Linked DNA regions of Rattus norvegicus. The protein of the gene in region 1 purifies or fractionates together with the protein of each later gene. This does not show direct contact. Links are inferred from orthologs where the notes say so. Each region holds a gene or a part of one and is shown in the gene's direction. Other genes may lie near its edges. The genes, in order: Asf1a, Ipo4, Ubn1, Nasp, Chaf1a, Tonsl and Ubn2.

Region 1 (4,074 bases):
CCAGAGTGGCTAAGTACCATAAACAAGCAACATTTCCTCACGTCAGCCCTGAAATGGTTTCACAGGCATCACAGGCATCAAAGGCATGGAAGGGCTCCTCAGAATTTGTGGTGCTGCAATTTTTAATTTATGGGTGTTTGTTATAAATCTCTTGAAGAGCAAATGTCATATTATCTGGGTTTTCTCCTTATATTCCACTAATACATTTGTTGTCCTTAGGTCTTCTGACACTTCCATTTTTTCGACTTTTAACTTCTTTCTCTGCCCCTCCCCCACCCCATCCCGAAAACGACGGAAACCTCGCTGTAACCGATCACGTTTTCCCCATTTTAGTTCTACATCTATTCAGATCTGAAATGGGAACAAATCTAACGTACAGCCGAAGATCGCATATTTATTTTTTTCCGGTCTGCCTCCGTGTGTGTGTGTGTGTGTGTGTGTGTGTGTGTGTGTGTGTGTGTGTGAAAATCACCCGCCCTCGTTTTGTATCTATTTCACCGCACTATCGTGCCCAAGAACTTGAATTCCAAAATGGCCTGCTCCTTTCGAGCTGACATGGGCTATAAAATCCAATTTATTCCCACTGCAACCAGCCCTTCTCCCTGTTCTCTACCATAACGAAAAGCAGACAGCTGGGCCTGAGGAGTGCGGCAAAGAGCATCTTATCCGCTAAATCCAGCAGAGCCCGCTAAACTGCCCGCACCTATGGGGAAGTGTTCAAGGCGGGGAGAAACCCGGAGAACCCCAAGGCCCACGCTGCGAACACGCGGGGCCAGATCGCGCCCTCCCGCCACGGCCGCAGGCCCCGCCCCCTCGCGGGCTCCGCCCCTCCGTCCCGCCGCGGCCACGCCCGACGTGCGGCGCGGGCCCGGCGGGAGGGGGCGGGGCCTGCGCCGCCTCCTCCCCCCGCCGGCGGCGGCCTCCGCGCGGGCCTCCCAGCCCCTATTCCACTCACTTTGTTCTGCGCCTTTGTCCTGGTCCGCACCAGCAGGTGGAGCCGCAGTGAAAGTTTCCCGTCCGTTCCGCGAGCGGGAGCCCATCTTGCTCGCCGCCGCGGCCCTCGCTGGAGGAGGAGGGTCAGAGCTCGGGGGCAGCCAATCGCGGGCAACGCTGCTAGTTATCAGAGCAGAATGGGCTGTAGTTTAGTGAAATAGGAAAGCTGCAAAACACTGTGGAGTGCTGCCGTGTAAATAAAAAGGAAAAAAAAGTTTCTCAAGTCGCAGCTGCACGACGTCGGGCCGCGCCGCGCCGGGGCGGGGGTCTGCGCTCTCGGAGCGGCCGCGCGCGGGACTCTGTGGTGCCGCCAGCCCCGGCCCCATTGTTTGTGTTTTCTTCAAAATATGGCAAAGGTTCAGGTGAACAATGTAGTGGTGCTGGATAACCCGTCGCCTTTCTACAACCCGTTCCAGTTCGAGATCACCTTCGAGTGCATCGAGGACCTGTCTGAAGGTGAGCGAGTGGCGCCAGGCTGTCAGTTGCGGTGGCGGACGTTAAAGTTTCCCAGCCCGGCCTCGCGCGGGGTGGGCCGCGGCCGGCGGGAGGGCGGCCATGCGAGGGAAACTTGAAGTTGAGGGACGCCGGCCGCGCCGCAACTTGCGAGCAACTTGCCGGGCGGAGGGAGCCATGTTGTCAGCTTTGTCTGCAGCGGGCGGCGCTTGGCGGACCCGGCTCGCGCGGCACTGGCGGGGGTCGTGCGGCCTCAGCGGCCCCAGGGCCCCGCGGCCCGGCGGGGAGCGGAGCCATCTTACCCGGCGGCACGACGCCTGCTCCGGGCCGCCAGGGGCGAACGGGCCCGCGCCTTCCCGCCCGAGCCCCGCCGAGGCTGTCCTCGCGCCGCTCTCCGGCTTCCTCCACCAACCAGCGCGGAAGGCGGGCGCTGGGCTCGGCCCCTCGGCGCCTGGCTCCCGGGGGCCGCCGTGCTCTCCGCGGGCGCCCGGGATGCTGCGCGCCGCCTCCGGACCGGCGCGGACGCCTCTCCCGGGGAACGGAGACCTCTCGGAGAGAAACGGTGAAGGGTTAGGAAGTTCCATCCCACCCGAGAGCAAAAGCAGGGCGCTTAACCAATTCCAGGCACTTCATCTCTGGCTTCTAGAAAGTCTGAAAGACTCTCCAGAACGTGTGAAGAAGATGCAATTAAAATAACTCCACGTCCAGGCAGATAGAGAAATAGGAAAATAGAAGGCAGTCCTTTCTGAAGTACATTTTACGGTTTACAAAATGCGAAATAGTGAGGTAATACAGAATTTAGAAAGCTAAAATGTGAGCTTCTTATTCCTTTTCTTAGATTTTATTAAAATCAGTGCTTCATTTTCAACATTTGAGACAAAAAGTTTAACTTCATTGGCGTTAAATTTTAGTTAACTGGGAGGACATCTTGGGACTTGGAAGTATTTCGACAAAACGCCTTTAAGATTATTATCCGAATTACGACGAAAAGAATTTCTCTTTTAATTTAAAAGCTATAATCTCTTCACGTAGGATGTTAACTTTAATTATAAAAGCCATTACAACAAACCTTTAAAAATTGTAAAAAGGAAGTCACAGCCCTTTCCCTCAACTCCTTTGGCTAACCATCACCATCACTTAAAATGTACCCTGTTTTTAATAAGTATATAAAGTATAATGCACATACATCTAGTGAGTGGGACATATCCTGAAGACTGACTAAAGATTAAGATATAATAGTCTCTAAATGGACTGTGATGATTAATGGAGTGTAAGGGTGTTTTGCTCATTTCTCCATTTGAAATGTAATAGCATTTCCACATCAGACCCATTTCCAACACTGATTTTCCTTTTCCTTTTTTGAACTGCCAATTTACATACAAATGAGCAAATAAACAGAGTAGGATCATGGCTGAGTCCATCCTCTACTCAGTGCAGTGTTCCAAGCATCAGAAGTTCTTTACACCACAGGTGTTTCACTAATGGTGGCCTCCATTTTAGGTCCACGTTGTACAAGAAAGGTCTAGGATATTGTTACAGTCACCACACTGGATAGTTCGAAACCAGCCATCCGCAGAAACCAAACAAGGTTCCATTTTAGACTGGGATCCTTTCACAACAGTGGTATTACTCAAGTCAAGAATATGCCTTCCTCTAGCACACTTCAAACCAGGGCACCATTATTTTAAGGTATTTTAAGCTGAGTCATTCCAAAGCTGCAAAGGAATCCTTGAAAAAGCTGCCATTCCTGTATACTCCATCTAGAGGCTCTGTGGAGTAAGAAAATGGGAGTTGATTTATCTTGCAGAAGCTCTTTTCTAGGGTCCATACTTTTGTTGTACTGTGACTTTTAAAGTTACTGATCCAAGTACGAAATACTCTATAGGGAATTTTGAGTTTACGATTTGTGTCTACCTCCAGTGTACCAATTAGCCACCATTTATTATTTGTCAGTAGTCTTGAAATATTTTAACTTTGCTTTTAAAAGCTGCCTTGTAGTTTTGCTTCAGAAGAAGACGTAAGTTGTGTTCGCGCTAAATACAGTTATTTCTTTTATAGGACTTATGTCTAGGAGTAGAGCACATTAAAAAGTGGGACTTAAAGGCTAGTGAGATGGCTCGCCCAGTAAAGCTACTACCCATACCAACTACCTGGCAATCCCCTGCGTCATGGAGAGAACTGACTCCAACCAGTTGTCCTCTGACCTCCACATAGTGCCTACACACACACACACCATACTTAACATTTTTTAAAAGTGATTTTAAGTAGGGGCTTTATTATACTTGATCACCAAGCCTATACAAGTTTAATTGGCCTTCCTGCAATTTCTAGGGTTTAATACTGGCAGTGCATCAAAATTGAGCCTGTGGCTTTATCCTTTGAAAGATCAGGCCTGCTTTGATTGCAAAGGCTGTGTATTTTCTACTAGGCCACAGAGTTTCCCAATAATTAGTTAACTGACAGTTTCCTCGGTAGCATCCCTCCGGCCACACGTGGAGATACTTTCTGCCTGGGATTACCACGGTTAAATGGAAAAGCTAATTTTCAAAATAAATAAATAATTTTCAGCTCATAACTCTAGTAGTGAAACTGCTTGATAAATAAGCATTCCATCACATTCAGACCCAA
Region 2 (4,254 bases), on another chromosome or scaffold:
GCGCTCTACCACTGAGCTAAATCCCCAGCCCAGCTATGTACCTTTTAAACAATCCCGTTTTGTACTTTTGTACTACTGGAGTGTACTTCGGGCCTCAAGCATCATTTGGCAAGCACTGGACCACTGAGCCACATCTCAGCCCATTTTTTACCTTTCATTTTTGAGACAGTCTTAAATTTTCCAGGCTGGCCTTGAAATTATTTTGTAACCAGGATTGACTTTGAACTTGGCAATCCTCCTGCCTTAGCCTCCCAAATAGTAGTATTAGATGTATGTCACCTGGTCTAGTTAAGATGTCTGCTTTCAGCCTGTAAGGGACGATGTTCATGAAATGAGAGCAACTATTAAACTAAACTAGTGGGCAGAAGGCTCCTCACGCTGCCTTGACCTCCACGGTGTGACGTGGGAAGGTGTGGCTGGGTTTGGCTCAGCCTGCTGTGGCTGTACACTGCTTTAATGGTGTGTATTGTCTGTTCTCTTCACAGTGCCATCTCTGTGGAGCTGTACTACATCTTTGCCACCGTCTGGGGCCGAGAGCAGTACACGCTGTACGGCATCCTCTTCTTTGTCTTCGCCATCCTGCTGAGCGTGGGGGCCTGCATCTCCATTGCGCTCACCTACTTCCAGCTGTCTGGGGAAGATTACCGCTGGTGGTGGCGATCTGTGCTAAGCGTTGGCTCCACTGGCCTCTTCATCTTCCTCTACTCAGTTTTCTACTATGCTCGGCGGTCCAACATGTCAGGGGCAGTACAGACAGTAGAGTTCTTTGGCTACTCTTTACTGACTGGTTATGTCTTCTTCCTCATGCTGGGCACCATCTCCTTTTTTAGTTCCTTAAAGTTCATCCGTTATATCTATGTTAACCTCAAGATGGACTGAGTTCTGCGTGACAGAACTACGGCTCTTCTCCTGCTCTCATCATGCCCCATTGATTTCACTGGATAGCTTCTCTTCTGACCGAATTGTGTGATGGCATTGTCGCCTTCCTTCCCTCTTTACCCCTTGGACCTCCCTTCTTTGGGGAGGACCTGGAAATTAAAAATCTCTATTATATAAGAAATATATATATTTGAACTTTTTAAGTTGCCTTATGTTTTGGTCCTGATTTTTTTTTCTTTTTACAATTATTAAAATAAAATTTATTAAGAAAAAGGATCCTGTAGTTGGAAATTTTGGTCTAAGTTATAGAAACCTGAAACCTGTTGTCAATGCACAGTTGCTTTGAAAACCCGAGTCCGCTACTGCCACACAAACTCTGGACTCTGGGAACTGTCGGCACAGGGAACTCACGTTCCCGAGACTCTGTTTCTGTGGTTTAGAGAGTGCTCAGCCAGACCGAAGCCCAGACTGACGCCAGCCACCAGTTTTCAGCAGGAGTTTTTGAAGGGAAGCAAGCTGAATCACCCAGGCGACTGGAGAGACGCAGAGTAACGCCCTTTCCGCCGGAAGTTGCTGTCGGAGTCTCCACGTGCCGTTCCTCCCCCTCCCCACCCGGCCCTGTAGCGGCGGCGGCTCGGCAGCTGCCATGGAGCCTGCGGGTCTGGAACAGATCCTGAAGGAGCTGCTGATGCCCGACACCGAGCGCATCCGCCGGGTATGGGCAGGCCCAACAGGGCTAGGGGGATGGGGAGGCTGTGGGAAAGGCCCGGTCTTGACCCCCCCAGCCTCCCAACAGGCTACGGAGCAGCTCCAGACCGCCCTTCGAGACCCTGCTGCCTTGCCAGCGCTCTGCGACCTGCTAGCATCAGCGACCGACCCTCAGGCGAGTTACCTGCCCCTCCTTGCCGACATTCTGAAATTCCTCACCGTGCCCCTGGTCCCGCCCCAGCCTCCTCCCCCTGCGGTCTTAATCTGTTCATCTTCTGACTGCTCGAGATTCTCATTTGGCTGGCCACCTCTTCTCACTCTAGATCCGCCAGTTTGCAGCGGTCCTGACCCGCAGAAGGCTGAGCAATCGCTGGCGTCGCTTGGCACCTGAGCAGCGGGAGAGGTGGGCTGAATTTAGGATGGGAGGGGCCGGGCCTAGACTTTTTGACAGGCCTAGTACCAAGCCTTTGCCACCTGTCTTCCAGCCTCAAGTCTCTGGTCCTGACAGCACTGCAGAAAGAGACAGAGTAAGTGTGGAGCACCCTCTCTTGGGGGTCCTAACTGATAGGGGACTGAGATAACTCTCTGGGCTTCTACCTTTTCAGTCCCAGACTGGGACTTAGGGATCAGAGACTTATTTCAGGCCTAGAAGGTAGAGCCTGGGGGCTGGGGATTTAGCTCAGTGGTAGAGTACTTACCTAGGAAGCGCAAGGCCCTGGGTTCGGTCCCCAGCTCCGAAAAAAAGAACCAAAAAACAAAAAGAAGGTAGAGAAAACTAAAGTTTCTGAGAATGGGTGAAAATGATCTGCTAAACCCAGATCGGGAAAACAAGACTGAATTCAGCCTGTCCAGTGGTCCTGAACAAGACAAATGACAGTACCACCCTCCCTTCATCGCCCGCAGTTGTCATCTTCTGGGGTCTGCCCTAGGAAAGACTGTGTGCACATACCTAGAGGCGTCTCTTCTGGCCATTCCTTGGGCCTGAGGCATTGTTTGCAAGGGAAGGGTGGTAAAGGGTGTTTCTGGATGAATGAATCTTCTCTTTGCAGGCATTATGTGAGTGTCAGCTTGGCCCAGCTCTCAGCCACCATTTTTCGCAAGGAAGGCCTGCAAGGCTGGCCTCAGTTCATGAACCTTCTTCAGCATAGCACTCACAGTGCCCACAGCCCTGAGAAAGAGGTACTGTCGTTGCCCTGTTGGCAGGAAGGAGGGACTGAGAGGCTGGATAGAGCACAAGCGCTCTTCTCACTCCCCACTCCTGGACAGGTAGGACTGCTGCTACTGAGCGTGGTGGTGTCTTCTCAGCCGGAGGCCTTCCACGCCCACCAGCAAGAGCTCCTTCAGCTTCTGATTGAGACGCTCAGTGAAGTGAGCTTCCCCGGAGTGCTCTTCTACTCCCTGCGCACTCTGACTGCCTTGGCCCGCTACCTCAGACCAGATGATGTGGTAAGGCATTGACTGTCCTACCTTAACCCCGTCACTGCCTGTATCTCTTGGTTTCATGCCCTCGCTTTTAGAAGTTTTGGCCCAAGATGCTTTAAAGCTTTAAAGTTTCTGCCGTCGTTCTTCCTGAGGATTGAGGGAGTACTGTTAGCGGGGCTTAGCTGGATCCTTAGATGGTGTACTATGAGGAAGTCTCCACTTTCTGGTTAGGCTGCATGTCTTTATGTGATTAAGCTCACCCTGTGTCTTCTAGTCTCTCGCACGGATGTTGGTGCCCAAAGTCGTTACGGCATTGAGGACTCTGATCCCCTTAGATGAGGTAAGGACGGGTGGGGAGGATCTCCTTTTGGGAGGAAAATGGAGGCACACCCACCCTGGCACCCTAGAGGAGAGAGTACCCTGTGGCTTACCTGTCTACAGGTAAAGGCCTGTGAGGCCCTGGAGGCCCTGGATGAAATGCTGGAGACAGAGTTGCCCATCATCACCCCCCACCTCTCTGAGGTCCTCACGTTTTGCCTGGAGGTGAGCCTCAGGTGGGTGCTGCCCCTGCTTCTTGGTTTGCCTCTTTCTTGCTTGTTTTTGATTCTTTTGAGTGTCTGTATAGGTGGCTAAGAATGTGGCCCTTGGCGAAGCAATTCGTGTACGTATTCTCTGCTGCCTCACTTTCTTGGTCAAAGTCAAAAGTAAGGTAAGTGCCCTGTAGGGATGCTATCCTACCCCGCTGCCTCCTCCATTAGTTGTAGTCTTGGTCCTGCTCACATCCTGGCCCAGCCTTCTGTTCCTGCCTGGAGATTGGGAATCTCTGATTGGGCTACTTGTGGTTGGGAGCGTCTGGGAAGACACTCAGGAATAGTCCTCCCCTCTAGGCTTTGCTAAAGAACCGCCTCCTGCCTCCCCTGCTGAACGCCCTCTTCCCCATAATGGCTGCGGAGCCACCCCTGGGCCAACTGGATCCTGAAGACCAAGATTCTGACGACGATGACTTGGAGATTGGGCTGATGGGGGAGACTCCCAAGCACTTTGCTGTGCAGGTGATATATTGGCCTCATCATCACTGCGACCAGATACCTCAGAGAAGCACCTTGAGGGGAGGAAGTGTTTTCATGGCTTCAGAGATTTCCATTCACTGTGATGAGAAAGGAATGGCCAGACAGAGTGGTTCAGGTCTTAGCAACCAGGAAGCAAGCCAGAACCATTCACATGGACAGGAAGCAGAGAAGGGAT
Region 3 (2,465 bases), on another chromosome or scaffold:
GTGTGTTTTGTTCTCTCCCCTCCTGTTTCTCTCAGGTCTTCTGGCTGGCTTGCATTCCAGCCCACCCCACACAGCGCCTCTCCCACATGCTGCTGTGTCTACCCATGTCCCACAGAGTCTGCCAGGTAAATGCCAGATGGGCAGTGTGCCATGCACTCTGTGCACCATGCCCCTCCACCCATAGGTGCTTTGCTGCTGGCGCTGTTAGCCATCTCTGCCTCATCATCACTGTTTTGTATTTGCTTTGTCTTCTGAGGCTATGGCTTTTTAGGTTCCAGAATAATAAAAACCTATACTGTAAGAGGCTTTTCCTGGTTTCTTATCAGAATGGCCATTGGGTCAGACTTAGCCTGTGTGACCGTATATGGTGGAGCCTGAGCATGAAGCAGGTGTTCCAACCCTCAGTATGCATTTAAAGAAAAGAAAGGTAATGGTGTTTCTTGTCCAGAGGTTAACCAAGCGCTCTAGGGCCTTTATGGTGAAATGCTGCATATCTGGCAGGCATTGTCAGATGGTAGAGACTCTTTGAAGAGTGAAAATACCCGTAGAACACTGAGAGACTATAGGACATGATTGTAAGGGAAGGACCTCTTTATCTCTGAAGCTAGCACAGAGCCAAAACAGAAGCAGCTTTTAATCCTCCCTGGTGTAAACCTTCCTTGAAACATATTTGTAAGCACACCTGGAATGAGGTCACTTTCTCCTGACAGAATGGCGCTTTTAGAAGTAGGCAGAGCCCTGGGTACATTGTCAGCTTGAGAGCATGAGAACAGGGAATAGTTGCCACAGACAGGCATCTTGTAGTAGGTGGACTGACTTCATCCTGATTCCTGGATTCTGCATAGAGATACTTCATGAAATTCTGACTCAAGAACCAGAGGAGAACTTGATTTTGACCTAGTATTTTTAGCACTTTAGACCTGTTTCAACCAGGTCCCTGGGCTATCAGGAGAGGACTGAATTTAGGGAACATGGGGCTTGTATAAGGCAAGAGTCAGATGCAGACTCTAAGGATTCGTATCTTTGACTTGCTTATGGATGGTGTGGTCCACAACTCATTGTCTGCTTTAGGATCTGTTTGTGGGTTCCTTGCATCCATGTCTTAAAGCTGGGAACTCTGCTTGCCTAGCAAGCAAAAGGCCCTGGGTTCGGTCCCCACCTCCGAAAAAAAGAAAAGAAAAAAAAAAGCAAAAAAAAAAAAAAAAGCTGGGAACTCTGTAGTGAATGTCAGAGGCCTTGATAGGGTGAGGGTGAATTTGCATTTCCACAGAAGGAAATCTTTGAGCCTTCTTTGAGGAGCAAAGCCAGTAGCAGTAGTCAACTTCTTTGAAGAAGCAGTCACATCTGAGGACTTCCTCTACACGGGTGGGTGGCTGCCATTTGAGTGAGGTGCAATGTGGGTGACTCCCCAGCTATGGAGAGCCTGTGTACGGTGAGAATGAGATGGTGCCACCTCCACTTGCTTTGGAAATGGGCCTTTTTGAGAGAAAGAAAGTAGTTAAAGAGAGACTCTGGGTCTGTAAAATTTTTAGCAACAAAGGGGAGAGGGATAGAAAGGGAAAGAAAAAACATTTCTTGAACCATTCTTATGTCTCCTCCCTGATCTTCCAAAGCTATCAGGATGGTTAAGGATATGTAGTTCAGTGGTGAGCACTTGCCTAGCATGTATAAAGCCCGGTGTCCATTACCAGTACCTCAAGGAGAAAAAGAAAAACAAAACATTGGGGGCAATCAGAAGAGCAGCCACGTAAAATGGGTTAGCAGCGTGAGCTTCATTTTGAGCTATGCTACAGATGTGGGGCTCTGCAGGGCTGGCAGGGATACCCTGTATCTGGCAGTGAGCTGAGCCTTGGTTCTGCTCTGCTTTCCCTTCTGCGTGTATCTGATGCTGTTACCTTTGCCTTTGTACCTCTGGGATCTGAGTACATTTTGATGACAAGAGAATGAACATTGTCTGAATTGTGTATGGTCATCAGGCCTTGCAGGGGCCCGTGTCATGTTGCAGAGTGCCTGTTCTATAGATGTGCTCAGTGGCCCCTGCCAGAAAAGTGGTAGTGCTCATGCGTGATGCAGGATGCTGTGAGCAGCAATGCACACAGCTGCTATTGGGGGACATTTGCTGCTTGTGTTCCCTGTGAAGTGTGTTTATGCTGCCTTAAAGGCACTGGAGCACTGAAAGAATGATCTGATTTTGCTTATTCTTTTCCAGATACTTCACAGCTTCATGGGAAAGGGCCTGTTGTCCCGAGGAAATTGTGACCACGTTGGAGGATGGAATTGAATGGCATAGGTCTAGGAGGAAGCCCAACATGTATGTCTCTGATAACAGACATTTGCTGTGCTCTTCTTGCCCACTGCTTTTCTTCTGGAGCAGGCATGAGTCTGAAATGGAGCACTTCTTAGCACTTCAGATGGGCCTCCAACCAAGGGCAGCTTCTGCTGCTCACAAAGCACTTACTGACCTG
Region 4 (4,204 bases), on another chromosome or scaffold:
TTTTTTTTTGAGGCAAGATCTCACTCCGAGAAGCCTTGGCTGTCCTGGAATTCCCCATAGAGATTAGGCTGCCTCAACAGTCTCTGCCTTTGTAATGCTGAAGAAGATGTTTGTGAGCACACTGGATTTTTAAACAAGTCATTATTATTGTTATTATGGTTATTCGGTTTCTCTGTGTATCCCTGGCTATCCTGGAACCAGCTCTGTAAACCATGCTGGGTTTGAACTCAGGGAGACCAATCTGCCTCTGCCTCCTGAGTGCTAAGATTAAATGTGTGTGCTAGGGCTGAAGAGACGGCTTATCTGTTAAAGAGCACTGGCTATTCTTGGAGAATATGACAGCTCACAAACTATCTGTAATTCCCGTTCCAAGGGATTAGACACCCTCACACAGACATACGTGTAGGCAAGATACCAATGTACATCAAATACAATAAATTATAAAGATGTGTGCCACCATGCTCCAAAAAAAGTTATTTTTTAAAAGAATCCAATTATTTCTATTTATTCATTTTTAGATTTTTTTCATTTTGTGTGAGTAAATGCTTTACTCACATTCATATCTGTGTACCACATCATGCATGTGCCTGGTGCCTAACGAAGTGGTGAGCCTACTTGCGGGTCCTGGGAATTGAAACACGGTTCCTTGCAAAAATAACAAGTGCTCTTAACTTCTAAAGTAACTTTCCAGCCACACTTACTTTTATTTAATGTGTATGAGTGTTTACTTGCATACATGTATGTGTATTGTGTGTATGCCTAGTGCTTCTGGAGGTCAGAGGAAGGGATTGATTGAATGCCCTGGAACTGGAGTTATAAACGGTTGTAAAACAATATGTGTGTGGTAGTGGTCACCTGTAATCCCAGCATTTGCAATCAGTCAGGCAGATTTCTGTGGGTTAGAGGTTAGCCAGTCTAAATAGTAAGTTTCAGGCTAGCCAGGGATATACTGTGAGTCCCTGTCTAATATATATGAAAGAAAAAAAATAGACAGCTAAAATGTTTAAAGTGTTTTATGTCTTTTTTTTCCCCTGGAGCTGAGGACCCAACCCAGGGCCTTGTGCTTGCTGGGTAAGTGCTCTACCACTGAACTAAATCCCCAACCACTAAAGTGTTTTAAGTATAGGATTTAGATCAACAACTTGGAAATGGGTAGAGTAAGATGATGGCATCAACGGATTGGATCAGTCAGAGGGGGTGGATCTAAACACTCACATCCCTTTGCTCCTCTGAGTTTTGAATCAAGCGCGTTAGTTTATCTGTAGCCAATCCTAGAGCAGCATCTTCCTTCGTCAGTAGTTGCTGAGGCCCAGAGCCACGCGTCTCTCTGGTCAGTTCTAGCCGTTGCTGCTGTACTCGTGCCCAGCTCTTGCGTTTCCATCCGTTAAGACTGAGAGGGCATAGGGAAGACCTGTCACCTTCTCGGGTATCCCCGTCAGAAAGAAACCCTCGGGACTACTTTTTCCACAGTCGCAGAGACTCACTGGTTCCACTTAATTGTGGAATCTCTAGGCTGGCTCCCATTCAGAAGTAGTACCGAGATTTTGGTGCTTCTAACACGACTAGCCACAGAAGCAGGAAGTTGTTTGATTTTTGTTTTCTTTTTCCTTTCTATCTTACTTTCTTTTTCTTTTTTCTTTTTTAAGGAAAAACGGGCCAGGGCGGGAAGATAACCAAACGGGAAGGGATAAGGGGCTGTGTGTCCTTGTGACAGAAAGGTGTTGAATGCTAGCCCTTTAAACACGAGGGGGAGGATCCGGAAGTGGATGGGCGGGGCAAGGGGCTCTGGTATATAAGAGGGCCTCAACCGCGCGGGGTCTCCAATCTGCCATTTTCTCTACCTGAGTAAGTCATCGTTGTCTGGAATTCTCTCGTTTTCTTCGCAGGCAGTATACTGCCCACTGGCCCACCACCTCAGGGGAACGATGGCCACAGAGTCTACAGCCACTGCTGCCATCGCCGCGGAACTGGTTTCCGCTGACAAGTAAGCGGGACTGTGGCGAGCTTGAGGCATGGGCCAGTCCTCAGGGAGAGCTGGTGGACTTGGCTTCGCGGGCGGGACGGACTGGTGGGTGGGACAGCTGCCTTCCCCTAAACAACTGCGGGCGTTCGGAGAGGGTTGGTTTGTGGAGAAGTCCCACTTGCGAAGAGCTGGCGCACTAGCGTTAACGGCGGGTGGCTGGCGCCCCCTGCCCGGCTTTTCACGGCCGCCATCTTGCCGGGGGCAGCGGTGGCTGTCTCCATCGCCGGCCCCTTTTCTTCCACCCCCGGCCCGAGGTTGCCGGTAGGTAGGCGGGGCCCGGCTCCAGTCGGTTCTTGAACCTCTACCGGCCGCCCATTCCTAGGGTGCGCCTCTGTAGAGAGTCTGTGGACGAACCTAGAAATTGGCCAACAGATTTGGCGCCAAAAGAAAAAAAAAAGCCACACGAGGGTGAAGGCTTGGAACTGGGGACTCGGGTGGGTGGGGCCTCTCAGAGGGCGGGGCTTTGCACTCCGGCGGTCTTGCTTTTGGCTCTTAGGAGTGGGCGGGGCTTTTAGGAGGCGGGAAAACTCCATTGTTTGGAGTTAAGGCTGCTTTTGCCACTGCGGTTGGGCGCAGCGAATTTTATTCTATACTCCTACCAGGTTTACAGTAATCTGAGGGTGGTTACGGGACTGAAGCTTTGTAACTCTCATCCTTTGCAGAGAAGTGTCGTGGTTCTTTAGGTTTTCACTGAGTCGGAGATTTTGTAGCTTCAAGAGACATTTCACTTGTGTAGCGTCTAAGGTAAAGGCTGCGTGGAGCTTTCAGTCTAAGTAGTGTTTACTTGCTAGATGAGTTTGTTAGGCGAAAGGATCCCAAAGGAGGAATGACCTAATTTGAGGGCTTAATCAAACATGAACTATTTCGCCTAGTGCAGAGACACCTCCATCAGTTTGAGAAAAGAGTATTTTCCGTACAATAGGTTCGATTTTCCAATTTCCCATGCCTTTTTTAGGTACTTGATTCTATTTTTTTCTGTTTTTTGAGCATTTAGAAGTATTGCTTTGGGTAAAAGTAAAGGTGTCTGTGAGATATCTGAGTGGTTTTTTTTCTATAGGTTTATGTTTTAGTTGACATTTCACTCAGTACAATTTTATCAGAGATCATAGTGTCTTTGCTTACCCTATCACATTGGTTCCTTTCCTAGACGTTCTTGAAAATCAGTGGTTCTCAAACCACTCAACCATTTGGGAAGTGCAGTTTTGATTTTAGATTCCACTCTACTTCCTCTTCATTGATTTTTTTTAAATTTTTATATTTAATGTATATGAGTACACACACTATAGCTGTCTTCAGACACACCAGAAGAGGGCATCAGGTCCCATTACAGATGGTTGTGAGCCACCATGTGTGTGCTGGGAATTGAACTCTGGACCTGTGGAAGAGCAGTCAGTTCTCTTAACCACTGAGCTATCTCTCCAGCCCAACTTTTTTTTTTTTTTTTTTTTTTAAGGACCAGAGTAGATTAAGTTTGGGAATTCTGTAGATAATATTACAGAATGAATCCATTTATGGTGCTTTCTGAACAGCTGTTTGTATTACATCGGAGATCCTTTTTTTCCCCCCAATACTTTACAGTTTGGGAGTGCTTACCTAGCATAGTATCTTGGATTAGATCTTTAGCTTTTCCCCTGCCCCTTTTCTCAGTTTTTCTAGACAGCGTTTCTCTGTGTAGTCCTGGCTGCCTTGGAACTCAAGAGAAGAGTTTCTGACTGCTTTGGTCTCCCAAGTGCTTAGGGTTAAAGAGGAGTGTACTGCCCCCACCCAGCCTCCAGCTTTTTTTTTTAAACGACTGTATAAACAAACTTTAAAAGTAAAGTTTTCATGTATTCATTTATGTTCAGTTAAACTCTAGCTATTGGTGAAGTAATTCCCAGCTTCCTGGATGGGTATTTACAGAAAATTACATGCCTACTTATAAAAAAAAATCTACACATACTTTTTTTTGTTTTTGAGAGAGCATTTCTCTATATCTTGGCTGTCCTGGAATTCACTATGTAGACCAGGTAGACCTGGAACTCACAAAGATCTACTTGCCTCGGCCTCCCAAATGCTAGGATTAAAGTTGTGCATCACTATGTTTGGTCTTCAGACACACTTTTTTTTTTTTTTCTTTTTCTTTTTTTTTTTTTCCGGAGCTGGGGACTGAACCCAGGCAGGGCCTTGCGGTTGCTAGGCAAG
Region 5 (3,500 bases), on another chromosome or scaffold:
TGAGTGGCCCAGCCGACAGGGCATATGGTTGGACACAATCCCTGTTGGGCACTCTTTATTGTGTTTTCACCCAGAACAAAGGAACTGGCTCTGAACTCTGCCACATGCTGTCCCTGGGGCCTGAGCTGTTCCTTGTCCCTTGTTTCACCCATCCCAGTCAATTCACTAACCATTCAATTCACTCCAGAGCTCAGTGAGTTTGACAAACATTTCTGAAAATGTGGGGACCAAGAGGCACAACACATACACATAACAAAATGAATGGAGGTATTCCTCTTTTCTATAAGATTTTTGATTTTATTGGTATGACTGTTTTGCCTGTGTCCTCTGGAAGAGCAGCATTGCTTCTTAACTACTGAGCCATCTTTCCAGTCCCTAAGTAAATAAACTGTAAAAAAGGAAAAAATAAAAATCTGGAAGACAACTGTGTCAGCCCATGCCTGTCATCTCAGCAGGCTTAGATTTTCTGAGTTTGAGGCTGACCCAGGCTATACATAAGGCTGGGTCTCCATAAATAAGGTTAAAGCTATCAAGGTGGAGGTGGTTCTCAAGTGGCTTTGTTTGGAATGCATTCCTATCACTCCGAAGAAGGAAGACTCTGGAGTCTTCCAGCTTCCACGCAGCTCCCTTTGGCCACCAGGCAGCAGTGCACCTGAGCTAGCATGGCTTCTCACCTACTGGCAGTGCATTAAGTTCTTCCTATTGCAGACCCTGGCTGGCTCCTGTGGTAAGTTTGCCCCCTTTGAAATCAAAGAACACATGGTGTTGGCTCCACGGTGCCGGGCTACCTTGGATCAAGATCTGTGCGATCAGCTGGACCGGCTCCTACACCAGCAGAACGTGGCAAGCTCCTTCCTCAGTGACCTAAAGGGCCGACTGCCCCTGAGATCTGGGCCCACCCAGGTCTGTGGCCATGACACAGACATCATGAACAGGTGAGAGCTGGCACACCAGACCATAGAAGAGTCTGGCATGGAGCCCCATGCTGCCCTATGCTGCTGAGTCCTAGAGTCACCATCTCCCAGAGTGTCTCTCTTTACACGTTCTGGGGCTCTGGGGCACACCTTCCTGCACACCCAGGGTGCAGCAGGAGGAACAGGCCTGAGTAGTTCTGAACAGACAGGTCATGTGCAGCCAGCCATGAACACAGTATGGTCTGATTACCAGGGATGTGGTCATCGTGGAGAGCAGCAAGGTGGATGGTGTGCCTGAAAGGAAGAAGTTTGGCCGAATGAAGCTCCTGCAGTTCTCAGAGAACCACCGGCCAGCATACTGGGGGACATGGAATAAGAAGACAGCAGTCATCCGCCCCCGTAACCCCTGGGTCCAGGACAAAGTGAGCCTTGGGATTGGGGTTCCTCATGGGGGTGGGCTGTTCTGTGCTGTTTCACCATGATGCTCATGCCTTATTCTCTCTCCAGAAGCTTTTAGACTATGAGGTAGACAGTGACGATGAGTGGGAAGAGGAGGAGCCTGGGGAGTCTTTGTCCCACAGTGAGGGGGTAAGTAAACCCATTGAGTATGAATAGCAGCAACTACAGCAACTGCAGGAGAAGCCATCGTACACTCTTATATGGGGTGGGCTGTTGACCCGGTTGTTTTGCTCCTGCTTAGCCTAGTGACTGCTTGCCATCCCGGCGCCCCCAGGCAACATGGCTGTTGGAGCCACACTGAGTCCTACTAGTCCCTGCTTCCTCTGCCCACATGTACTGTTTCTGCCTTGCTCCCCAGCTGCTGACACCAGTGTAGATGCACACAGATTTACTGTGACGCGGAGGCTAAGCTAGGGGACATCCTGAGCCAATGTTGGGCACTAGGCAGGCTCTGTAGCCCCCTTAGCATCTGCATGGATGTATGTGTTTATATGTGGGACTGGACTGGCCTTCAACTCTGATATCTGTGTGCTGTAAGCTCTTGTCTTTCTCTTCAAGGATGAAGATGACGATGTGGGGGAAGATGAAGATGAGGACGATGGGTTCTTTGTGCCCCATGGGTACCTGTCTGAAGATGAAGGCGTAACTGAGGTGAGGGCTCCATTCTGAACTGATTATAGGGTGTTGAGGTGATCAGCTGCTTTGATTTAGGCTCTGGGTGAGCAGGCATGGGCTTTCTCTGCTGCATGGTCTGTAGATTTCCCCTAGAGTTCTAACAAACCACCACAGTTCCAGAAGGTCCTGTGCCCCTGTGAGCTCTCCCATAAGGGGCTGTGGAGAGCTTGAGTGGTATCCGTAGGTCCCAAGCTCCTAGTTGCAGGTTTAGGGAACCTGCATAGGATGACTGAGGTCAGACTGTCTGACCATGATGTTGGGCAGCTCAGGCCCTGCTGGAAGCCACATTGATCGGGGTGTTTCTGGGGTTGGGGATTTGGTCGCCTATTAACCAGGTCAAGAGGCTGTGAGGCTGGACAAAGCAAAACCACTGAAATATCCTGCCTTATCATATGATTAAAGATGTGAACTGACTTCTCAGAGTTGTCCTTCACTGCCACATCCTCTGTAGCTCATGCCACGGTGCCAGGGAGCGTGGGCATTAAACAAGGGTCTGTTCCATATCCTGCCAGGAGTGTGCGGATCCAGAGAACCACAAAGTACGCCAGAAGCTGAAGGCCAAGGAGTGGGATGAGCTCCTAGCCAAGAGCAAGCGCTTTCGCGTGCTGCAGCCTGTGCAGGTGGGATGTGTTTGGGCGGCAGAGGCAGCCAACTGCACAGGTTCCGACTTGAAGCTGCTGCAGCAGTTCACTGCATGCCTGCTGGATGTGACATCCCCTGATGAGCCAGAGCCCAGGGCCTCCAGGAGGGAAAAGAGGGACCAGCATAGTAAGTAGGGTACGGGAGTGTCCGGGAACAGCTCCTATCAGGGTGTCCTTGATGAGGTCACAAGTATGCAGAGCCTGTGTGTGGGTATCCGTCCACATGCAGCTTGTCTGCATGTAAAACTGACAGGGCCTTGGGTGCTGGGTACAAACTCAGGTTGTACATGAACCTGCCAAGTGCTTACCACTCAGCCATACCCCAGTCTTGCTATCCTACCCTTGACTTTTTGGGTTTTGTTGTTGTTGGTTTGGTTTTGGTTTTGGTTTTGGTTTTTTTGAGTCAGTGTCATTGTGACACAAGACAGGTCTTGGTTACCAGATGGCTTGCACTTTTCTTGAACTCATGGTGATTTTTTTGCTTCCAGCTCCTAAGAGCTTGACTTCCAGGTATAAGCCCCTAGGCATGGCTCCCTTGGAAATTTTAGTAGGACCCACAGCAGAATGATATAGTCAGTTTTGAGACCTGGACCAGAGTGCAATGCCACTCCCTCCCTGTCCTAAACCTGGGGACACTGGTGGCTCAGAGTGAGCAGCGACTGCTTAGGAGGAACATGAGGGCACACACAGCTGACCACGGGCATGGCCCAGGGCCACTGGGAAGTAGGCGTGTGGCTTCTTAGCCAACCGATGCCAAGTAGCTTTCTTTGAAGTGTGCCTTGCCAACCTTCCTTGGCAACAGTGAGGATGG
Region 6 (4,240 bases), on another chromosome or scaffold:
CCGTGGTTAAGAGTATTGGCCAAGGCTTTTTTTGGGAAAAGCCAGATTTGATTTTCAGCATCCACATGGTTGTTCATGACTGTGTGTACCACCAGTTTTATTTCTTTACTCATACATTTGTTTGTTTGTTTGTTTGTTTGTTTGTTTGTCTCCGCATTGGTGTTGGGCCTCTGTGAATGGTTGTTGGAGGGTATCAGATCCCCTGGAACTGGAGTTACAGATATCTGTGAACTACCATGTGAGTGCTGGAAATTGAACCCCATTCCTCTGGAAGAGTAGCCAATGCTCTTAACCACTAAGCCATCTCTCCATTCCCCAGCACCACTCCTCAACTCCTCCAGACCTCCCCACCCCTTTCTAGGGATGCCTTCTGGCCTCCATGGACGACACTAGGCACACAAATGGTACACAGACAAAATACCCATACAACAAGATAATAATTTACAACTTTAAAGGTAAAACTTACAAGTGTAGTGTGGTGATACAGGCCTTTGAGCACAGCACAAAGGAGACAAAGGCAGGGGGATCTCTGAGTCCAGCCAGTTCTATATGAACACCTGTTTTGCTTTTTAAAGTTTTTTTCATAAATGTAGGTAGAATAGGTGGTATGTGCTTTAATTTCTAGAGGAAAGGGGGTAGCATTACAGGACCCCTGTAATAAAAAGGCAGGTTGAGAGCTGGAAAGTTGGCTCGGTAGTTAAGAGCATTTACTACTCTTGCAGAGGACCCAAGTTCGGTTCCCAGCACCCACACGATGACTCGTAACAAACTGTAACTCCCGTCCCTTCAAGTGTCTTCAGCCTCTAGGCACACGGAAGGTGCACATACACACATATAGGTAAAACACATACGTGAAATTAAAAAAATCTCTCTTTCTCTCTCTCTCTCTCTCTCTCTCTCTCTCTCTCTCTCTCTCTCGCTCTGTGTGTGTCTGTGTGTGTGTGTGTGTGTGTGTGTGTGTGTGTGTGTGTGTGTGTGTGTGTGTGTGTAGCATTGGCTTTCCGGGATTAATTCGCTCTGAGACCACGCTGGCCTCAAATTTAGACATCTGCCTGTCTCAGTCTCCTGAATGTTGGGATTAAAGGCGTATGCCACCATGCTCGTCTACTCTTAAAACAAAACAAAGTCAGGTAGGCTACAGGGCAGCAGGGTTAGTGCCCACACGTTGTCTGTAGTCCGGGTAACTCACCCGAAGGGGTCTGTAAATAAGGACACTGCCTGCCTGGGTACCTGCATTCTCCGCCAGCAGCTTTGAAAGCCCAGATCCCAACCAACAGACCTTGGGCTCTCTGATCCCGCCATGCTGGAGCTCGTCGGACTACAAATCCCAGGAGGCCTGGGGTCTACAGCACTTGGGCCACCGGAGGGGCGGAGTTAAGCATGCGCTCAGAAGACTGGGTGGGCCCTGCGTGTTAGGGGTGGAACGAGGTAATGGGCGTGGGCTCAGAGAAGCGCGGGAAGTCCAGATTTTCGCGGCGGCGGCGGCGGCGGCGGTGGCTGTGTGAATATGACGCTGGAACAGGAGCTTCGCCGTGAGTATTCTGGGGCGTACTTGTCGGGACGCAGGGTGTGGGTCGGGTCCTGGGTTAGACTTGATTCTCTCTTCCGGCAGAGCTGAGCAAGGCGAAGGCCAGGGCCCAGAGGAATGGACAGCTGTGCGAGGAGGCGGTCTGCTGCCACCAGCTGGGGGAGCTGCTAGCTAGCCACGGTGAGCCGGAGTGGTGAGAGGGAGGGCTGGCGGCAGGGGACTGACTGAGTGATGGCGCACCTTGAGCCCCCCACGCCCCTCTTCCGGCAGGTCGCTTCCAGGAAGCTTTAGAGGAGCACCAGCAGGAGCTACATCTGCTAGAGAGTGTCCAGGACACCCTAGGCTGCGCTGTGGCCCACCGCAAGATCGGAGAGCGGCTGGCTGAAATGGAGAACTACTCTGCTGCTCTGAAGGTACAGAGCCTTCACTTCTTGTTGAGGAGTGAGGACTAGTATACAAATAGTATTCAGCGACAACTGACACGGCAGGCAGTCACACCCTTATGCTTACTCGGGGCGCTGCCCGGCTCTTGACTCGGGGATGAATGAGTTTGTGACAACTGAAGAGAAGACTCGGGACCCACTGCTATGGCAAGCAACACTCCAGGCAGCCCTTAGTGGTCTCCCATGACAACACTGCTACATAGACAGTCCTTTGCACAGGAAAGATAGGACATGGGTGTAGCCAACTCTGTTGAATTTTGGGAAACAGAAGGTTCTCTTTCATAAGAGTAGCTTCCTCTGGTACTTCAAATGCTTTTTCTTCTCTCTTTTTTTTAAAGATTTATTTATTATATATAAGTACACTGTGGCTGTCGGATCCCATTACAGATGGTTGTGAGCCACGTGTGGTTGCTGGGATTTGAACTCAGGACCTCTGGAAGAACAATCCGTGCTCTTAACCACTGAGCCATCTCTCCAGCCCACGCTTTTTTTTTCTACACTAGCACCAGCATCTCTACCTGGATCTAGCTGGTTCCCTGTCCAACCACACTGAATTGCAGAGAGCCTGGGCCACCATTGGCCGCACCCATCTGGATGTATATGACCACTGCCAATCAAGAGATTCCTTGCTGCAGGCACAGGCTGCCTTTGAGAAGAGTTTGGCTATTGTGGATGAGAAACTAGAGGGTGGGTGCCCTTTCCCTGGATTTTCCCTCCCCATATCCTGCATTCTAGGTCCTCCCTTTCCAAGGCCTGAGTTGCTCACCAGCTTGAACCTGTGAGACATCTGCCCCTTCCCTGTATACTCTATCTGCAGCAGACTCCTGGCTCACTCAATAAGAGATGGAAAAAGGGTGGGATAAAGGGAAAACCCCATACCCAGAGGAGGCAATTGAGTCCCTAAAGCTCTTGCTTTCCAGGGATGCTGACCCAGCGGGAACTGAGTGAGATGAGGACCCGTCTCTACCTCAATCTGGGCCTCACCTGTGAGAGCCTGCAGCAGACAGCCCAGTGCAACAACTACTTCAAAAAGAGCATCTTTCTCGCTGAGTGAGGAGGAGGGAGCGGGTGGTCGCCTGGGATCCTTCTGAGAGGGCAGCTTGCCTAAGTTGTTCGTTTGCCATGTACATTTATGCTGCAGGCTGAGGAGAAGAAGATATAGGCCTGAAACCATAGCATGGTAGAGCCCAGGGTCTGTGTGGTGTCTGTAGCCGTAACTGGTTGAACATCAACAATATCATAGGCATTTCGGGGTCCACTGTTCCAAGGCTGGTGGACACTGGACACTCTGAGCTCCTGTTACCTCATCCTCCACAGGCAGAACCATCTGTATGAAGATCTGTTCCGGGCCCGATACAACCTGGGTGCCATCCACTGGCGCGGAGGGCAGCACTCTCAGGCCATGCGCTGCTTGGAGGGGGCCCGGGAATGTGCACGTGCCATGAAGATGAGATTCATGGAAAGCGAATGTTGCATGCTAGTGTCTCAGGTACCTCTCCTTTCATTGTCCGCTTGGGCCTGGGCCTTAGTGAGTCTACAGGTCTTAGTTTTTCCCCCTCTTTCTAGGTGCTCCAAGATCTGGGGGACTTTCTGGCTGCCAAACGAGCCCTGAAGAAGGCCTATAGGTTGGGCTCTCAGAAGCCTAACCAGAGAGTGGCTATCTGTCAGAGTCTCAAGTATGGTGAGGCTGCATGGGGTCCCTGAACTGAGAGCCCTAGGGGTCGGAGAAGGGCTCTGCCCTCCCAGCAGGAGACACCCAGCTTCTTGGGGATGTGGCAATGTGGGCATGAGCCTCTGACAGCAAGGGTAGATTTCTGTCAGTTGAAGACCCTTGCTTTTGTCTAAGCCTGCTGCACAGGGTGTGGAGGACACTAGAGGGTGTGGAAGAAACTGACTGGACCTTTGTCCCAAGACAGCATTAGCAAATGGGAGCACAGGTGTCATACTGTGTCCCAGAGACTGACAGTGACAGTCACTAGTGTTCAGATCTTCAGACCAAGCACTGTTCTAGGCTGCCAGGCATACTTACCCTTCTAACCTTCAGAAGTTCCTAGTGGTCAATATCCCCACTACCTACTCTGACCAATGGTCACGCTGAGCCATTTCCCTGGCTCTCAGGCCGCTGCCTGAGGGAATATGGCTGGTGGGGGTAGGCTGTGCTTGGGGCCCTATGCTGTATGACACCCCCCTCACTCGAGATTCTTTTTGGCAGTATTGGCCGTGGTCCGGCTGCAGCAGCAGCTGCAAGAGGCTGAGGGCAATGATCTTC
Region 7 (4,300 bases), on another chromosome or scaffold:
TGTGAGCAGAAAGGTCACTTCAGTCCAAAATAGGAGACCCCAATCAAAATCAGTAGTAGTGGAAGGAATGTTAAACATAAAATATGTCAAGGAAATATTGCAGCGTTTTAAAGAAGAAATTCATTTTTTTTTTTTTTTTTGGTTCTTTTTTTTCGGAGCTGGGGACCGAACCCAGGGCCTTGCGCTTCCTAGGTAAGCGCTCTACCACTGAGCTAAATCCCCAGCCCCTCATCATTTTTTTTCCCTTGTTGCCAGTTTGTTTTTTTCAGACAGGGTCTCACTATGTAGCTCTGGCTGGCTTAGAAGTCACCAAGTAGAACAGGCTGGCCTTGAACTCAAAGAAATCTGCCTGGCTCCAGAGTGCCACCACTTTCATTAAGAAGTGCTAGCTGACCTGCTTTTTTTTTTTTTTTTTTTTTTTTTTTTTTTTTAAATGTTGACAGTGTTGAAATGTAACAGCCTGTATCTTCCTGAGGCTAAATGAGGCTAAAGGCGTACATCTCCACACCTGGCTTAGAGCTAGCAGGACCTTTTGGGATGAACATTCCCTCACCACTTGGCATACACCTTTAGTAAGGAATAGAAGAGCAAATACTAAAAATGTCTGTGACGTCTCTTTGACTCAGCTCTTCAACATCTAATTTAGTTAATGCAATTAACAAGCGTGAGTTTCCTTGAGGATGTGGAAAGGGAGCCCTCAAATTCACTTTCTATTGAATAGATTTAAAGGGCCAATAGCTCTAGTCCTTTAAAATCTGAATTCCAGTTCGTTTCCCACGGGTGCTCCAGCGAAGCTTAAAACAACGCTCTTTCCTTTTTAGAATATGAGCCATGATTTTATTTTCCCCCAAGAGCATGTCCCCTAAAATAACACCAAACGCTGCCAAGACGTTCGAGTCTTCAAGAACTGTTCATTTGCCAGTTCAATTTCTCAACTGAGGCGCGTCACTAAGCGTCTCACCGCCATGTGCAAAGCGACTACGGAGAAGTGTGGGAGGCAGCGTGGCGCTTTCGGGAGGGGTCTGGGGCGAGTCTAGTCTTCGCCTTTCTACCCTGGACACCTCAGGTGACTGGGCAACGGACCGGCAGGCCGGGAAGACGGGCCGCCAGTCCCTCACCCCTTTCCTGGGTCCGCTAGGAATCCTCAGTTGACGACCCTGTTCCCCGACGCCGAGAGCCAGAGGCCAACGTCGGGCGGGACCCGGCGCCATGACTGGGTCGGTCCCAGGCACATCGCGACGCTCACCCTAAGGGATCCGCGAGCGTGCCTCGGTTTCCGGGCGAGAGGAGGAAATCACTCCGGGAACCCCAAACCCCTCCTTTGAAACCAAAGCATACATAGCGTCCCCGTTGCCACGGAGACAGGCCTATTTGTGACGTCATTTCCGCCGAGCTGTCTGGCCTCCAGACTGTTGAGAGGAAAAGAGGAAAACTGAGCAACAGCCACGACTGTGGACGCGAGCGTCTCTAGTGTGCGCATGCGCCCGCTCAGCGGCCTGCTTCTATTTATGTGGGGGATCCAACATGGCGGCTGCGGCGACCCTGGCGATGGTGGTGGAGCCCATCAGAACGTAGTAGCGGGGACAGGGACCTGGTCCGCACTCACGGTGGCGTCCGCGGGGACAGCTGAGGGTGCTGGAGGGAAGAAAAGTGACGGAGAGCAGAAGGAAAGGCGGGCAGGCACGCCGTGCGGCGTCGAGACGAGAGCCGGCTCGAGCGAACGCCGAGGGCCAGAACAGTGGGGATGGCGGAGCCGCGCAGAGTCGCGTTCATTAGCCTGTCACCGGTGAGGCGGCGCGAGGCCGACTTCGCGGGCGCAGAGCGCGAGCCCCCCCGACTGGAGCCGCAGCCGTACCGCGAGCCGGCCCGGGCGGAGCCGGCCCCCCGCGCTGACGCTCAGCCCCCGGCGCGCGACAAGCCGCTCCCCCAGCGCGAGGTCAGCCGCGCCGAGCCGCCCATGGCGCTGCAGCGCGAGCCCCCGCGGCCCGAGCCGCCGCCGCCGCCGCTGCCCCTGCAGACTCCCCCTCCGCGGGAGTCGGCTTCCCGGGCGGAGCCGCCCCCGCGACCGCCGAAGGAGACTGTTCGCCTGGAGCTGGTGCTCAAGGACCCCACGGACGAAAGCTGCGTGGAGTTCAGCTACCCGGAGCTGCTGCTGTGCGGAGAACAACGGGTACAGAGGGTCCCTCCCTCCCGGCCGCCCCACAGCCCGGGCGCCTCCGGACCCGCCGCCTGCCCGGGCTGCTCTGCACTTCGCTCGCCCCGGGGGTGGGGTGGCGGGGGCCGGGCGGCTAGACGGGGCGGGAGCTGCGCCGCTCGGCCAACCTGGGTGGCCGAGGCTGCCCCCTCCACACCGCGCCGAGCCGGTTTTCCTGTGCACCTTTCGAAACCTCAGCTTTTTCCTCCTTTTCCTTTCTGTTCCCCACACCAAATCCCGAGGCCCTGCGAGCCGTGCGGCTAGCTTCTTGTGGCACTTCCATCTGTCGTTCCGGTAGAAGGGAAGCGAAAAAACCTTGGGGGACACGCCCCCCGGTCTGAAGCGGAGAGATTGTGTGACCCCTTCTCGGCTCATCCTCATCCTTCCTCAACCCAGCTGTATCGTGCGCCAGGGCTGCTGAGATGGGCTCGTGGCCGGGTGGTTTATTTTCCTTGATTGAAGGGGATTTAAGAGAAATTAAACATTTTCAGAAACTAATGATTCCACGTTAGGAATGAAAAAGTGGATTCGTAATGTGGTTGCACTTGTGTTGGTAAATATTGTTAGCTTTGTGTGTGTTGAGTTTGTGCATATTGTCTTTGAATGGAAAGGTCTCCTGTCTTATTCGGTGGCTGTTCAGTCATATTATTTGAGTGGCTCTCATTAGTTCGAATTGGGAGCGTTTGTCCGTTGTGGTTTTGTGGAGAATGACGGAAAAAACATTCGCTCTTAATTTAAAAAAATTAGGAAAATATATCGGTATGCTTTTGAGGGAACCGGTGAACAATGGGGATTAGGACAGCGGTTTGTCGGTGACTGTAATTTTTATTGTTGTGGGTTGGTGATCTTTGGGGGGGGGAGATGGGAGAGAGAGAGAGACGGATAGAGGCAGGCAGGCAGACAGACAGAGGCATTGCCCTCTTGTTTAGAGACCATGCTCTTTATTAGACTGGGCTTTCTAATGGACTCCAGAATGCATTAGTTCCTTTCAACTATCTTTGTTGTTGCAGTGAAGGACTCTTTAGTTAAAAGTCTCACATTGACTAATACCATTAATCTGTGTTCATTTTGTGCCAGATAATCGTTTGATGGCTAGTTACAAGTATTGTGTGGCCATCATTACTAAATGTTTTCAGAGAAATTGAATCGTTAGGGGTAGAGACCATTTTAGTCACTTTCACGTATATTTTGTCCTGTAGACTCAATTCATCCATAACTCTTTTTGTTTTTGCAATATGAATATAATTTTTGTCTATTAAATTGGAGCATTTTCAAAAGAATTATCCTTGACTCATTAATATAAGTAGGTGTACAATTTTTACAATTTGCATAAGTTACAGATGCAAAACATTTTGTAGATGTGTATGGTAGCCTGTGACCTAAGCACTCTGGAGGCTGGGGTGGAAGGATGAAGAGTTCAGGACCACATACTGAGAACCTGCCTCAAAAAAACAAAAATTGGGCAACAAAATGGCTCAGCAGATAAAGGCACTTGCTGCCAAGCCTAGAGACCTGAGTTCCGTCCACATGGGGGAAGGAGAGAGCCATCTTGTCCAAGTTGTGTACACACACACACACACACACACACACACACACACACACAGGTATAATAAAACAGCAAGACAAAAGCCATTTTTGGTAGAAAAAAATTACATAATGCTACTTTGTGGTTTGTTGTTGTGCAAATAGAAAGTACCTACAATAACCTAGATTTTGTTTTGCTTTGAAACCGGATTTGGTGTCCTGGAATTCACTTTGTAGACCAGGTCTCCTACTCAGACCCCTCTGCCTCTGCCTCCTGAGTAGTGGAGTCAAAGGTGTACACTTTCCTGTACACCTGAGTAGGTGTTTTAGTCTGTTTTTAGATATATCCTACTTACATTTAACCTGCTGTATAGGCTCTGTGGTATTTACTGTTGTGTATGTGATCTTTCCTTGACCTTTAAAGCAATGTTTGGTACATGGCTATACTTTTATATTCTATGAGACATATGAGTTGGGTTTAATTTTTATGTTTGCTTCATAGATAATATCAATTTAGGGATTTATTGGTTCAATTTTCTCACTATATATTCAACCATTTATCTTTTGTTTGTAATTCCACAA

Evidence for each region.
Region 2: the proteins of Asf1a (region 1) and Ipo4 purify together in Homo sapiens (affinity purification with mass spectrometry; 4 studies listed by BioGRID and IntAct, counting the BioPlex papers as one, with this or other methods). This does not show direct contact. The link is inferred for Rattus norvegicus from reciprocal best matches to the Homo sapiens genes ASF1A and IPO4.
Region 3: the proteins of Asf1a (region 1) and Ubn1 purify together in Homo sapiens (affinity purification with mass spectrometry; 6 studies listed by BioGRID and IntAct, counting the BioPlex papers as one, with this or other methods). This does not show direct contact. The link is inferred for Rattus norvegicus from reciprocal best matches to the Homo sapiens genes ASF1A and UBN1.
Region 4: the proteins of Asf1a (region 1) and Nasp purify together in Homo sapiens (affinity purification with mass spectrometry; 6 studies listed by BioGRID and IntAct, counting the BioPlex papers as one, with this or other methods). This does not show direct contact. The link is inferred for Rattus norvegicus from reciprocal best matches to the Homo sapiens genes ASF1A and NASP.
Region 5: the proteins of Asf1a (region 1) and Chaf1a purify together in Homo sapiens (affinity purification with western blotting; 3 studies listed by BioGRID and IntAct, with this or other methods). This does not show direct contact. The link is inferred for Rattus norvegicus from reciprocal best matches to the Homo sapiens genes ASF1A and CHAF1A.
Region 6: the proteins of Asf1a (region 1) and Tonsl purify together in Homo sapiens (affinity purification with mass spectrometry; 4 studies listed by BioGRID and IntAct, counting the BioPlex papers as one, with this or other methods). This does not show direct contact. The link is inferred for Rattus norvegicus from reciprocal best matches to the Homo sapiens genes ASF1A and TONSL.
Region 7: the proteins of Asf1a (region 1) and Ubn2 purify together in Homo sapiens (affinity purification with mass spectrometry; 3 studies listed by BioGRID and IntAct, counting the BioPlex papers as one, with this or other methods). This does not show direct contact. The link is inferred for Rattus norvegicus from reciprocal best matches to the Homo sapiens genes ASF1A and UBN2.

Annotation. Positions count from the first base shown.
Region 1 is NC_086038.1:33,435,358-33,439,431, forward strand, and holds the start of Asf1a (histone chaperone ASF1A), read left to right. Parts: upstream 1-1,274; 5' UTR 1,275-1,340; coding exon 1,341-1,449; intron 1,450-1,490; coding exon of another isoform or gene 1,491-2,030; intron 2,031-2,258; exon of another isoform or gene 2,259-3,150; coding exon of another isoform or gene 3,151-3,215; intron 3,216-4,074. Other genes in the region: Mcm9l (collagen alpha-2(I) chain-like), read right to left, coding at 1,491-2,030. UniProt on the Homo sapiens protein: Histone chaperone that facilitates histone deposition and histone exchange and removal during nucleosome assembly and disassembly.
Region 2 is NC_086033.1:33,094,442-33,098,695, reverse strand, and holds the start of Ipo4 (importin-4), read left to right. Parts: upstream 1-1,454; 5' UTR 1,455-1,525; coding exon 1,526-1,594; intron 1,595-1,675; coding exon 1,676-1,762; intron 1,763-1,910; coding exon 1,911-1,990; intron 1,991-2,072; coding exon 2,073-2,114; intron 2,115-2,636; coding exon 2,637-2,766; intron 2,767-2,853; coding exon 2,854-3,033; intron 3,034-3,283; coding exon 3,284-3,349; intron 3,350-3,450; coding exon 3,451-3,552; intron 3,553-3,634; coding exon 3,635-3,718; intron 3,719-3,896; coding exon 3,897-4,061; intron 4,062-4,254. Other genes in the region: Tm9sf1 (transmembrane 9 superfamily member 1 isoform 1 precursor), read left to right, coding at 486-879. UniProt on the Homo sapiens protein: Nuclear transport receptor that mediates nuclear import of proteins, such as histones, RPS3A, TNP2 and VDR. Serves as receptor for nuclear localization signals (NLS) in cargo substrates.
Region 3 is NC_086028.1:11,005,002-11,007,466, reverse strand, and holds part of Ubn1 (ubinuclein-1), read left to right. Parts: intron 1-35; coding exon 36-125; intron 126-2,209; coding exon 2,210-2,259; 3' UTR 2,260-2,465. UniProt on the Homo sapiens protein: Acts as a novel regulator of senescence. Involved in the formation of senescence-associated heterochromatin foci (SAHF), which represses expression of proliferation-promoting genes. Binds to proliferation-promoting genes.
Region 4 is NC_086023.1:135,316,792-135,320,995, reverse strand, and holds the start of Nasp (nuclear autoantigenic sperm protein), read left to right. Parts: upstream 1-1,404; 5' UTR 1,405-1,530; exon of another isoform or gene 1,531-1,886; 5' UTR 1,887-1,925; coding exon 1,926-1,984; intron 1,985-4,204. UniProt on the Homo sapiens protein: Component of the histone chaperone network. Binds and stabilizes histone H3-H4 not bound to chromatin to maintain a soluble reservoir and modulate degradation by chaperone-mediated autophagy.
Region 5 is NC_086027.1:981,725-985,224, forward strand, and holds part of Chaf1a (chromatin assembly factor 1 subunit A), read left to right. Parts: intron 1-708; coding exon 709-935; intron 936-1,167; coding exon 1,168-1,336; intron 1,337-1,421; coding exon 1,422-1,502; intron 1,503-1,931; coding exon 1,932-2,024; intron 2,025-2,560; coding exon 2,561-2,816; intron 2,817-3,500. UniProt on the Homo sapiens protein: Acts as a component of the histone chaperone complex chromatin assembly factor 1 (CAF-1), which assembles histone octamers onto DNA during replication and repair.
Region 6 is NC_086025.1:110,238,598-110,242,837, reverse strand, and holds the start of Tonsl (tonsoku-like protein), read left to right. Parts: upstream 1-1,440; 5' UTR 1,441-1,507; coding exon 1,508-1,532; intron 1,533-1,612; coding exon 1,613-1,708; intron 1,709-1,798; coding exon 1,799-1,941; intron 1,942-2,474; coding exon 2,475-2,658; intron 2,659-2,891; coding exon 2,892-3,021; intron 3,022-3,288; coding exon 3,289-3,460; intron 3,461-3,537; coding exon 3,538-3,652; intron 3,653-4,183; coding exon 4,184-4,240. UniProt on the Homo sapiens protein: Component of the MMS22L-TONSL complex, a complex that promotes homologous recombination-mediated repair of double-strand breaks (DSBs) at stalled or collapsed replication forks.
Region 7 is NC_086022.1:68,131,761-68,136,060, forward strand, and holds the start of Ubn2 (ubinuclein-2), read left to right. Parts: upstream 1-1,500; 5' UTR 1,501-1,744; coding exon 1,745-2,170; intron 2,171-2,192; exon of another isoform or gene 2,193-2,708; coding exon of another isoform or gene 2,709-2,747; intron 2,748-4,300.